Saccharomyces cerevisiae S288C: one gene and its partner. Changing the gene in region 1 together with any one later gene gives a genetic interaction. Each region holds a gene or a part of one and is shown on either strand. Other genes may lie near its edges.

Region 1 (5,374 bases):
TGGAGAGGATAAGGTCATCCCAGGATTGATGGCGTGTGGTGAAGCTGCTTGCGTATCGGTTCATGGAGCGAACAGATTAGGCGCTAACTCACTACTGGATTTAGTCGTTTTCGGTCGCGCCGTTGCAAATACCATTGCTGACACATTACAGCCTGGCTTGCCTCATAAGCCATTGGCTTCAAACATCGGGCACGAGTCAATTGCTAATTTGGATAAAGTAAGAAATGCTCGCGGCTCACTGAAAACCTCTCAAATCAGGTTGAACATGCAAAGGACAATGCAAAAAGATGTTTCTGTTTTCAGGACGCAAGACACTCTAGATGAAGGTGTTAGAAATATTACTGAAGTGGACAAGACATTTGAGGATGTGCACGTTTCTGATAAGTCAATGATCTGGAATTCTGATCTCGTAGAAACTCTGGAATTGCAAAATTTACTTACTTGTGCCACACAAACGGCTGTTTCTGCTTCCAAAAGAAAGGAGTCTCGTGGTGCTCATGCGAGAGAGGACTATGCAAAAAGAGATGATGTGAATTGGAGAAAGCACACATTATCATGGCAAAAGGGGACATCAACACCTGTAAAAATCAAGTACAGGAATGTAATCGCACATACTTTAGATGAGAATGAATGCGCCCCAGTCCCTCCAGCTGTCAGATCCTATTAATTCTTATTTATTTATTTATTTATTTTGGAGGGCAAACTTATTTATTGATCTGGCAAAAATGATCTTTCCCTTTTTTCTTATTTTTCTCTCTATCTCTCTCATTGATTCTTGGTCAATAGTACTCGTTTACTGTCAACTTACACCTTATCTATTATGCTATATAATTTTATGCAAGACATTGAAGTACAATATACGTCGAGCTGCAATATGCAAAAATATCAGAGGGAAACCAGCTCATTAGGAAATATGACATGTGGGCTATCTGTTTGTTGGTGGTAGCTGGGTTTTTTTTTTTTTTTTTTTGATTTTGTCGTGCGGGTGTGCAGGCTGGGATTTCAAACAAATAACAACGAGTAATTGACAAGAAAAACTTATTGGCTTATTTTCTTTTTGTTCTTCAAAATTGTTTGCCTTACCCTCTCCCTCAGTTTGTTTTCGAGTGATTGTCTATTAGGATCAATAGTCAACTTTGCTGTTTCCATACTTAAAACATCACTAGTCTTTATGCCGAACTTCGCATTTATAAAAGTGTCGCAAATCAATCTCATATCGTCGTAATTTTTTCCATACCACAATTCACATAAATTTCCAGTGACCTTACACAGGTCTAAAAACTTTTCATCATCTTTACTGGCATCTTCCTTTTCAAAAATTTTCTTGAAATGCAAAATCAATTCAACAAATTCATCGTTATTATTCGTATGTTCATAGTCACCTTGGCTCACTAGTTCGTGAAGCTCATCGTAAATGGATAACAAAAGGGTGATGATAGTGCATGCAATGAAAATATCCAAGGGATAATTGAACGTCAGGACGTGGTCCCAAACGATTAGCACATATTTTAAGGGTAATTCTCTTAAAAATAACAACCTTGTCCATCGGATGAGCCAGATTAGGTTGGAGTGAATCAGATGGTCTACGTTTTTTTTCTTCCCGCTGCCCGTTTTTGGTGGTTGGTAAAAAACCTTTGAAAACAAGTCTGGCAAACAAATCCTAAAGATTTTCGTGAATACTCTCTTATCCCAGTTAATCAAATTTTCTTCGTTATAAAAAATCGGTTCGATTTGGTTCATTAGCTTGTTAAAGATAATCAGAACGTTTTGCAAATCGGTATTATCGAGATCTGTACCGTGATATAATTGCAGATAAATGACGCTTAATATTTCGTGGAACCCTTGTTTATACTGTAGGTGTTCGCTTTGATGTATAAGCAGGTAATTGTACAAAAGTTGTCTCATTTGAGCATGAACCTTGGGTTCCTGAAATATATCGTCAAGCATTATCCTTGAGAGGTCCAAATCTATAATTTCCAGAGTTTCCCTCAGTGTCAACGGCTTTTCATCACTTCCCTTGGACAAAGAACCTTTAGTTTTGTCATTGTCATCAGACAAGGGATGTTTTTCAACAGCCTCGACGGGAGTCAGCCTCCTGATTCCCACTGAGGAGGAAACGTTCGAGTGCAAGACCCTTTTAGGTACATTTGCATTATGATTTTCGTCATAGTTGTCGCCATCTGCCAGCATAGGCACTGGCACCAAGCCGAACTGGTTAAGGTCCAAACCTTTAAAGTTATCAGTTAACAAGCAGTTGTTGTTTTCATCACACAGAAGCAAAGCTTTCCAGAGCCAGCCTCTACTATTTTCTTTAAAGATAGAGTCATGGTAGAGTTCACCTTTCCAAATTCCCTTCTGCACCAGTTGGTCTCTTGTCTCGTAGTGGTCAATCGCCCATTGTAAGACATCCTTCATGGTTGCATAAGCGAAAAAATACAAACGCACGACAGCTAACCCTCTCTATGTATGCCAATTCTCTTGACAACTCTCCCCCATTGTTCTGAAAAAGGTAATGAAATTAAACGCTGCTGTACCGATTATGGAAAACTCAATGGAAAAATTGAAAAAAAAAAAAAAAGGAACTAGTAATGCCGTAGGAGAAGCGGGTAACATAATATCCGGTTTTCCTTTACGACCGCTTACAGGCCTAAACCAGCGCACCATCCAGTTACAATAACACTTGGAGCATGCGTACACGTGTGCGTATTCTACGGCTGGCATGGGCAAAATAAGACGTGGAATTTTTCTGTGGTCAGAACTTTGCGTCAGTAAATAATTCAAGAAAAAATAATAATTATGTCGAAAAAAAAATAGAAAAAAAAGAAAAAAAGAATACTAAAAGGTGAGTGTTCAGGAAAACCGCAAGCCATGTTTGTTGATTATTCCGGACTGGAGCGTTACACGGATATAAATGCATCTTTTGGTAAGTTGGTCAACACTTACTGCTGTTTTCAGCGCTGTGAAGCCATCAGCGAACAATTGGAGATTCTGAAAAGTCTAGTACCAAAGTGCCACGACATTGTGGCACTTACTGACGAAGACTTTGCTAGTGGCCGTACTGCCGGACTGACGCAGAAATTGTTTGCTATGGCGATGACCCTACACCAGATCACCGACTGTATCGACCTCCTGCAGAAATGCAACACCATAATACCCATCGAGATCGCCAACCCGGCTAGCTTTGAAAGCGGCGCCGCGACGGCGCCGCTACGTCAAAGCTATGCTAGGCTCTTGGATGACTGGTCCCACTACATGGGCCCATCAACGGTAAAACACACAGGCTGTACCAACCGACCCAAGTGGAGATTTCCCTGGCAACAGTCACGGACTATCATCATCCCCATGCTGTTTATTGGCGAAACTGCAATGAGCACCAGGGACCTAAGGTCTGTGCTGCATGATTGTGAGATCAGGCACGCGAGCGAAATGCCGCTGCAGCTACTTTGGACGTCGTCACCGGAGTTGGTGTACGCCACACCGCATGTTGACGACTACGACATTTGGTCGCGCTACGGGTCTGATTACAACATGCAGATAGAGGACGAAGACGAAGCATCAAAAGGGCGACAGCGCAAGTGTGTGGTGCAGTTGGAGGCACTGTTGGGTGCGCTACCTACTACGGACCCGTTGTTCCAATGGTAGCCCGGGCCTTTTTTTTTTTCATCAGCTTCTCTTTTAGGCCGTCGGCCCCGTTCGATGTTCACCCGTCCTGGACAGCTTGCTCTCCCCCCTTCCTCGTGCTGCGCGACTGTTTACGTTATTGGCTTATTGTATTGTTTTCGCATCTAGAACGTTCAGGTTCAATTTACGCAACGGTGTTTCACTCGAAGCATCTGGCTGTACAAGCAAATGCTGCGTTCTCATTCTCCTTTATATAACAAGCTTCTGCCTTAAAGCGTTCATATGTACATACATATACACCACTCAGGCACTCGCATAATCGCACTTAAATACGCAAAATATACAAGATAGCCCTACAACTGCTCCATGGACTCCAAGGACACGCAAAAGTTGCTTAAGGAGCACCGAATCCCCTGCATCGACGTTGGATGGTTGGTCAGGCCCAGTGCCTCCACCAGCAAGAGCTCCAGACCAGGGAAATCCGAGTCCAAGGCCAACAGTGTGGCTCCTGACATCCAGATGGACACTGCTCGCCCGCCCGTTTTCGAAACGTCTGTAGACTCTTCCAGCAGCATTCTTTCTTCAAACGATAAGGGACGCCGTCACTCCGTAGCTGCGAGCTTGCTAATGGATAATCAGCGTGCTAACGCTGGGTCTACATCCGTTCCCACAAACATTCCTCCCCCTAGGGGTAGGTCGAAGTCAGTGGTGGAGACTAACCTGTCTAACGTTGAGGCTGACTCCGGACATCATCACCACCACCGCCACCACCATCACACGGAAGATGCTCCTGCACCTAAGAAGGTCGGATTCTTTAAGAGTCTGTTTGGCCATAGGAAGAAGGATCAGGAACAACAGGAGAAGGAACGAGAAAGGAAAGAGCGCTCACCCTCTCCGACTCACGTGGACCGTGGCGCGGCCATAAGAAGAGAAAGAACGGCTACCATATCTGCGGAATCACCACCGCCTTTGCAGTACAATGCTCCACCCTCTTATAACGATACTGTGGTACCGTTAACAAGATCCAAGACGGAATCAGAAGTGTATTACGAAAATCATCCGCAAAGCTACTACCATGGCCGTATGCGCACATACCACTCACCAGAAGAGGGTAAAGTCGACGGAACTTCCCCCGCAGACGATCATAACTATGGCGGCTCTCGACCTGATCCTAGATTAATGGATTTCTTGCGCTACTACAAATCTAAGGATTACAAATTAGCCGCCTTCAAAGAAGGGAACTTTATTAAGTCATCTGCGTCTCCCACAACCAAGAAAAATAGACGCGCTTCGTTCTCATTACATAACGACAAACCACAACCTGCCAAATCACTTGCTCACCAGAAATTTGACGCTAAGGGAAGACCCATTCCGCCGCATCCCGACGCACCCAAATTGCCTTCCGCCTTCAGGAAGAAGCATCCAAGCAACGCATCGATAGTAGACACAGTGGATTCCAATTCGGACGTTTCCTCGTCAGCGCAGAATAATAATCAGACACCTTCTTCTCATAAATTCGGCGCCTTTTTAAGGAAAGTTACCTCTTATGGGAACAACAACAACAACAGCACCAATGCCTCCTCCCTTTCTGCAAACGTCAATAATCCAGACACCTCATCGACGTCCCTATGGTCTTCTAGTTCAATGGAGTTCGACCCTTCAAAGATAACCACCGTCCCCGGCCTCGAGAATATACGGCCCTTGAAACACGTCTCCTTTGCTACGAACACCTATTTCAACGATCCTCCACAAC
Region 2 (4,679 bases), on another chromosome or scaffold:
ATTTTCCTTTTTTTCTTCTCCTTCCCCTCAGATTTCGAGGTTTGTCGTTCTTATTAGAGTTCTTTGCTTTTTTCTTTGCCTATTTCAATAAAATCTTACCAGTATGCTATGGAAATGGACATTATTTTATTATTATACAACATAGTATATTCTGACTAAAATGGAATTAGAAATTGTAACATTAGTATGTACTTATAATCATTTGTATCATTGTATTACTCGCCTTTTGATGTAAATTTTGTTTATATCTCAGAACATCTCCAACAGCAGATCAGAAGTTACATTGTTCTTGTAAGTGCTTAAGAAGTCTGTTAGCAAATTGAAATCTTTCAGAAGAATATTCCACCAAAATTTCGGAAAAGCAATACCAGCGGTAAAATATCTGCCATGCTCTATATTATGTGACTTTATTTTAGGTGCACCCCCCACCAGTAACTTATTCTCTAAATAATAATTAATGACACCATTGAATATATTAGTTCTAAATAAAAAAAAAAAAGCTAAGAAAAGAAATATTTAAACAACGCTTGCAAATCATACTCAAGAGGATGCTTTACTTCAGCAATATCATGATTGTTCAAAAACTCATTCATTGCGACCTTTCTTCTACTTTTGAAATCTAACTGTTTACCAAAAACCTTAAGGTTCAAATCATTAGCAAATTTTGTGAGAAGTGTAAGCTCACATCTAAGTTGAATGACAATTGTTGGTACAATTTTTAAGAAGGTTTTTAATGGGATATCCAACACAATTAATAAATTTTTGATTAGATTTTGCGATTGCACATAGGTAAGGTCTGTCAGAATATCAAGACCCAAGGAGTCGTACTTTTCCTTCGTTATATGTGGAAAAGATTTTCCAACAGTTTCAAAATTAAGTTCGGTAGAAGGATCACCATATAGTTTTTTTAAATTCAGCTTCTCTTGGAATACATCTTCTTTTAGTGATAGAATTGTTTCTTCGAGTTTTAATATTTCACTTTGTTTTCCAGCTAACTCGTCAGTAATTTTCTTATGTGTGTTTTCTGACTCTTGAATTTGAGTGCTCCATCTTGAAGCAATCAAAGCCTGATTCTGAAGTTTCTCAACAATTTCCTGGTGTTCATTCATGTAATCGTTCAATTTATCTTCGGCATTTTTCTGAATTTTTTCACTTAGTATTAATTTTTCTTTTAACTCGCTCTTCAGTTTTTGAAAGTTTTCTTCCTTGAGGTTCAGGATATCATGCCATCTCCTTTTTTCCAAACGAAATTGTTGTTCTTTTGTTAACGCCTCTTTTTGAAGATATTTTATTTTGTGACTGTGCTGCTGTTGCATAAAATGTAATCTTTCATTAATCAATTTAAAGACAGAAATGATTTTTTCAAGACGTATACGGTCATTCTTTTCCAAAAGTTCTATCTTTCCTTTTAATTGTTTGTATTGCTCCATATTTTCAAGATTTTTGATATCTTGAAAATCCGGATAAAGCTTGGCAAAACCGTTTTGAAACATCGAAGGGGAATGGCCACATTTCATTTCTTCTAGTATGAATTTACCAAGGTCTTTCTCAAAAAGAGAAAGATTTTGCATATAGCTGTAAACATCATTTAACCTTTTCTCGTAAAACGAACCATTATCATGTAATTTTTTATTTTCATCTTGAGAAAGTTGCAAATTGCTTTTCAGTATTTCAACTTCAGATCTTAATTTTACTATAGAGTTATTCGATTCGTTAATATCTTTTAGAAATTTATCATTTTCTTGCTGCAAGTTTAGGATTTGTTTTTGCTTCCTGTATAGTTCCGAAACTAAAATATTTCTTTGAGAAAAAGCTTTACATTTAGTTTTGGCACTAGTCACTTCATTCTTCTCCTTCTTGCTAGCGTTTTTGTTTTGAAAGTCTGTAATTTTTTCTTCTCTAATTTTTTTAATTTCTTTGCGAAACCGGTCCTGAACAATGTTGAGCCTTTTTGATGCAGCTTTTCTTTCGTTGTGGAATTCCTTCTGCAAGTCTTCTATTCTTTGAAGTTTAGCATCATTCATGCTATTAAGTTCTTCTAGTTCTTGAATCCTGTCATCCTTCTCTTCTAGTTTTTGTCTTAGTGCTTTGATCTCTTCATTTTGGGACTGGAGCTCATCTAATACCTTGGGTAAACTATTTTCTTTAGAAATACTTCCTCCATATGATGAAGAAGATAGCCTAATTTCTCCTAATTTCATATATTCGGACTGTTCTTCATCTGGAGTTTTAGATGAGCGAAATACGTTCTCTAGATGCGCAACCTCTATATTCTCCTCCAGACTCTCATTGCTTACAACATAATGCTCATCATTTGAGATTGCTGCGACTTTGTGGGGATTCGTGAGGAGCTTTGTAGGTGTAGAAGAAAATCTATTCACTTCAATACTATTGTGTACTTTGTATGTGGTAAATTTACCAGGGCTTACATTTCCTAATGTACTGGGCTTTCCTGCAGGTGACAGAGCCTGCGAGCCTATTCCTACAGTTGGTAAACCACCCCTTTGTAGAAATTTATTAGGCGATTTTAAAGTATTTTTTTCCGTAGCATTTTCCAATGTACTAATGTTACCAGAAGGTGAAGAGGCTTCTGAACCTGCCCAACTCTCTGAGCGGTTTCTTCGGGAACGCCTATTCGACAGTTTTGATATAATATCAGAAGAAATACTTTCCTGCACATTAGATTTTTCAGTGGACGTAGGTACTTCAGAGTCTATCCAAGTTTGTGAACGCCGCTCTCGAAAAGGTTTACTTTCTGGAGACTTAGTTAAAGTGCCATCAGTAACATGTCTCATCTCCCCCTGCTGGTCGCAATCCGAGTTTTGTTCCTTTAGGGATTCAGGCTTATTCAAAAATGCTAACCAATGATTCATATTCGGAGAAGTTTGTTGTATTCAACTATCCCATTCAAAATCCCAAACCGAGTTTTGCAATTCTTTCACTGGCAAATCTCTTTGTGTTCCTAATCTTAATATTGTACAATGGGCGGCTAAAGCGCGATACGCAAAAGAAATTTGTACATATACTCAAATTACTCATTAATACTTGGAACAAGATATAGTAGCCCTCTAAACATATACAACTAAATCTGGTAGACTTGCTGGCCGGCTACCCAAACTTTAGTGGTGTTGCGATCATCACCGTTAAAGAACCATTTTGCGATTATGTCTTCATTAGTAAGCAGCGGTGGGTTCTTATAAGGGTCTTGCCCTTGCTCTTGCTCTTGCTCTTGCATTTGATCCTTCTCCTTTAGCTGCCAATGAAACATATCCACGTTTGAGCCGGGAGCATTGGTATCGATCATTTGAGCGTCAAACTGCTTACCGACGTCAAAAGTCCCCAAGGTCTCATCCATACGCAAGACTTGTGCTCCGCCCATTGTAGCAAGAAATAGGCACTCGGAGACTGAAAGTTTTGCATGATCAGTTTCTCTCATTGCCAAATGCCTTGAAACTGCAAAGGCCTGCCTTCCGGTGGTGAGTATGCTACAAGAATGACCGGCTGAAACGTCGGTGCCTAGACCAACCTTTATGCCCTGGTCCAGCAACCATCGAACCCTACACTCTCCAGAAGTCAGAGAGGAGTTGGAAATGGGACAATGAGATATACCACAGCGACGCTGTTTAATCACACGCGCTTCGGCATCTGTTAGATGAATACAATGTGCCAATACTGTTTTTTCTGTGAGCAGCCCATATTTGTCGTATACATCAGTATAGCTCTCACATTCGGGAAATAAATCTTGAACCCACTGTATCTCCTCCTTATTTTCCGACAAGTGGGTTTGAACGTGTATGTTTTCATCCTTGACTAGCTTGGACAACTGTTGCATTAGTTCTCTAGAACAAGAGGGCGCGAACCTTGGTGTCACTATAGGATTTACGAGGGGATCACAAATGGTTTCCCGTATGTACTTAACAACTTTCACAGTGCTTTCAAAGGAAGTTTTAGTATCTTCAATATAATACTCGGGACCATTGGTATCCATGCACACTTTTCCAACAAGAACACGCTGCCCCAATAAGGAGCTTAGTTGAGCCAAGAGCTTAGTGGACTTGAGATCAATGGTATTATAGTAAGCCACAGTCGTTGTACCGTGAGAAAGCGTCTTACTTATTACCTTATTGTAAACTTCTCTCGCAATATTTTCGTTTGCTAGTGCGGCTTCTATGGGGAAGGTATACTTCTCTAGCCAATCCAGCAGGGTAGAATTCCCAAATACGCCGACATTTGGATATTGCGAGACATGGTTATGCGTGTCAACAAAACCTGGAAAATAAAAGCTGTTATTTCGAGTCTTGTCTTTTCCAATTATGTCAACCACCGTGACATCCTCTGGTGATAAGCTACTATCGTGATCTAAACAATCTTTGACAGGATCGAGTGAATTTCTGTTCACAAACCTGATGATTCCGTTGAGAACTCCAACAGATGTTTTCTCTCTGATTCTCAGCTCTCCTAATTTAGGGGTATCTACAAAGGTACCAAAAAAAACTAGAAACTTTCCATGTTTGTCGTTGAATTTATCAAATAATAAATCACTTTTTGTCATATCCTCTTCAAAGGACAGCCCAATTCATATATTCATTCAATAAAATGTTGTTCTTTTGCCAATGGCCTGTTTTAAAATCCTTATCTTGTCTCCTTTTATAATCCGAAACTATCCAAACTTCCGAGTG

Evidence for each region. Genes that interact genetically often act in the same process or in processes that back each other up.
Region 2: of YJL043W (region 1) and ADY3, changing one enhances a phenotype caused by changing the other (phenotypic enhancement), as found in Saccharomyces cerevisiae (one study listed by BioGRID).

What each region holds. Positions count from the first base shown.
Region 1 is NC_001142.9:357,262-362,635, forward strand, and holds YJL043W (uncharacterized protein), read left to right. Parts: upstream 1-2,868; coding exon 2,869-3,642; downstream 3,643-5,374. Other genes in the region: succinate dehydrogenase SDH9, read left to right, coding at 1-667; GTPase-activating protein GYP6, read right to left, coding at 1,039-2,415; MHP1 (Mhp1p), read left to right, coding at 3,988-5,374.
Region 2 is NC_001136.10:25,903-30,581, forward strand, and holds ADY3 (Ady3p), read right to left. Parts: upstream 2,874-4,679; coding exon 501-2,873; downstream 1-500. Other genes in the region: GUD1 (guanine deaminase), read right to left, coding at 3,083-4,552. UniProt on the Saccharomyces cerevisiae protein: Involved in the pathway that organizes the prospore membrane (PSM) during sporulation. Mediates the assembly of the DON1 ring structure at the leading edge of PSM during meiosis II.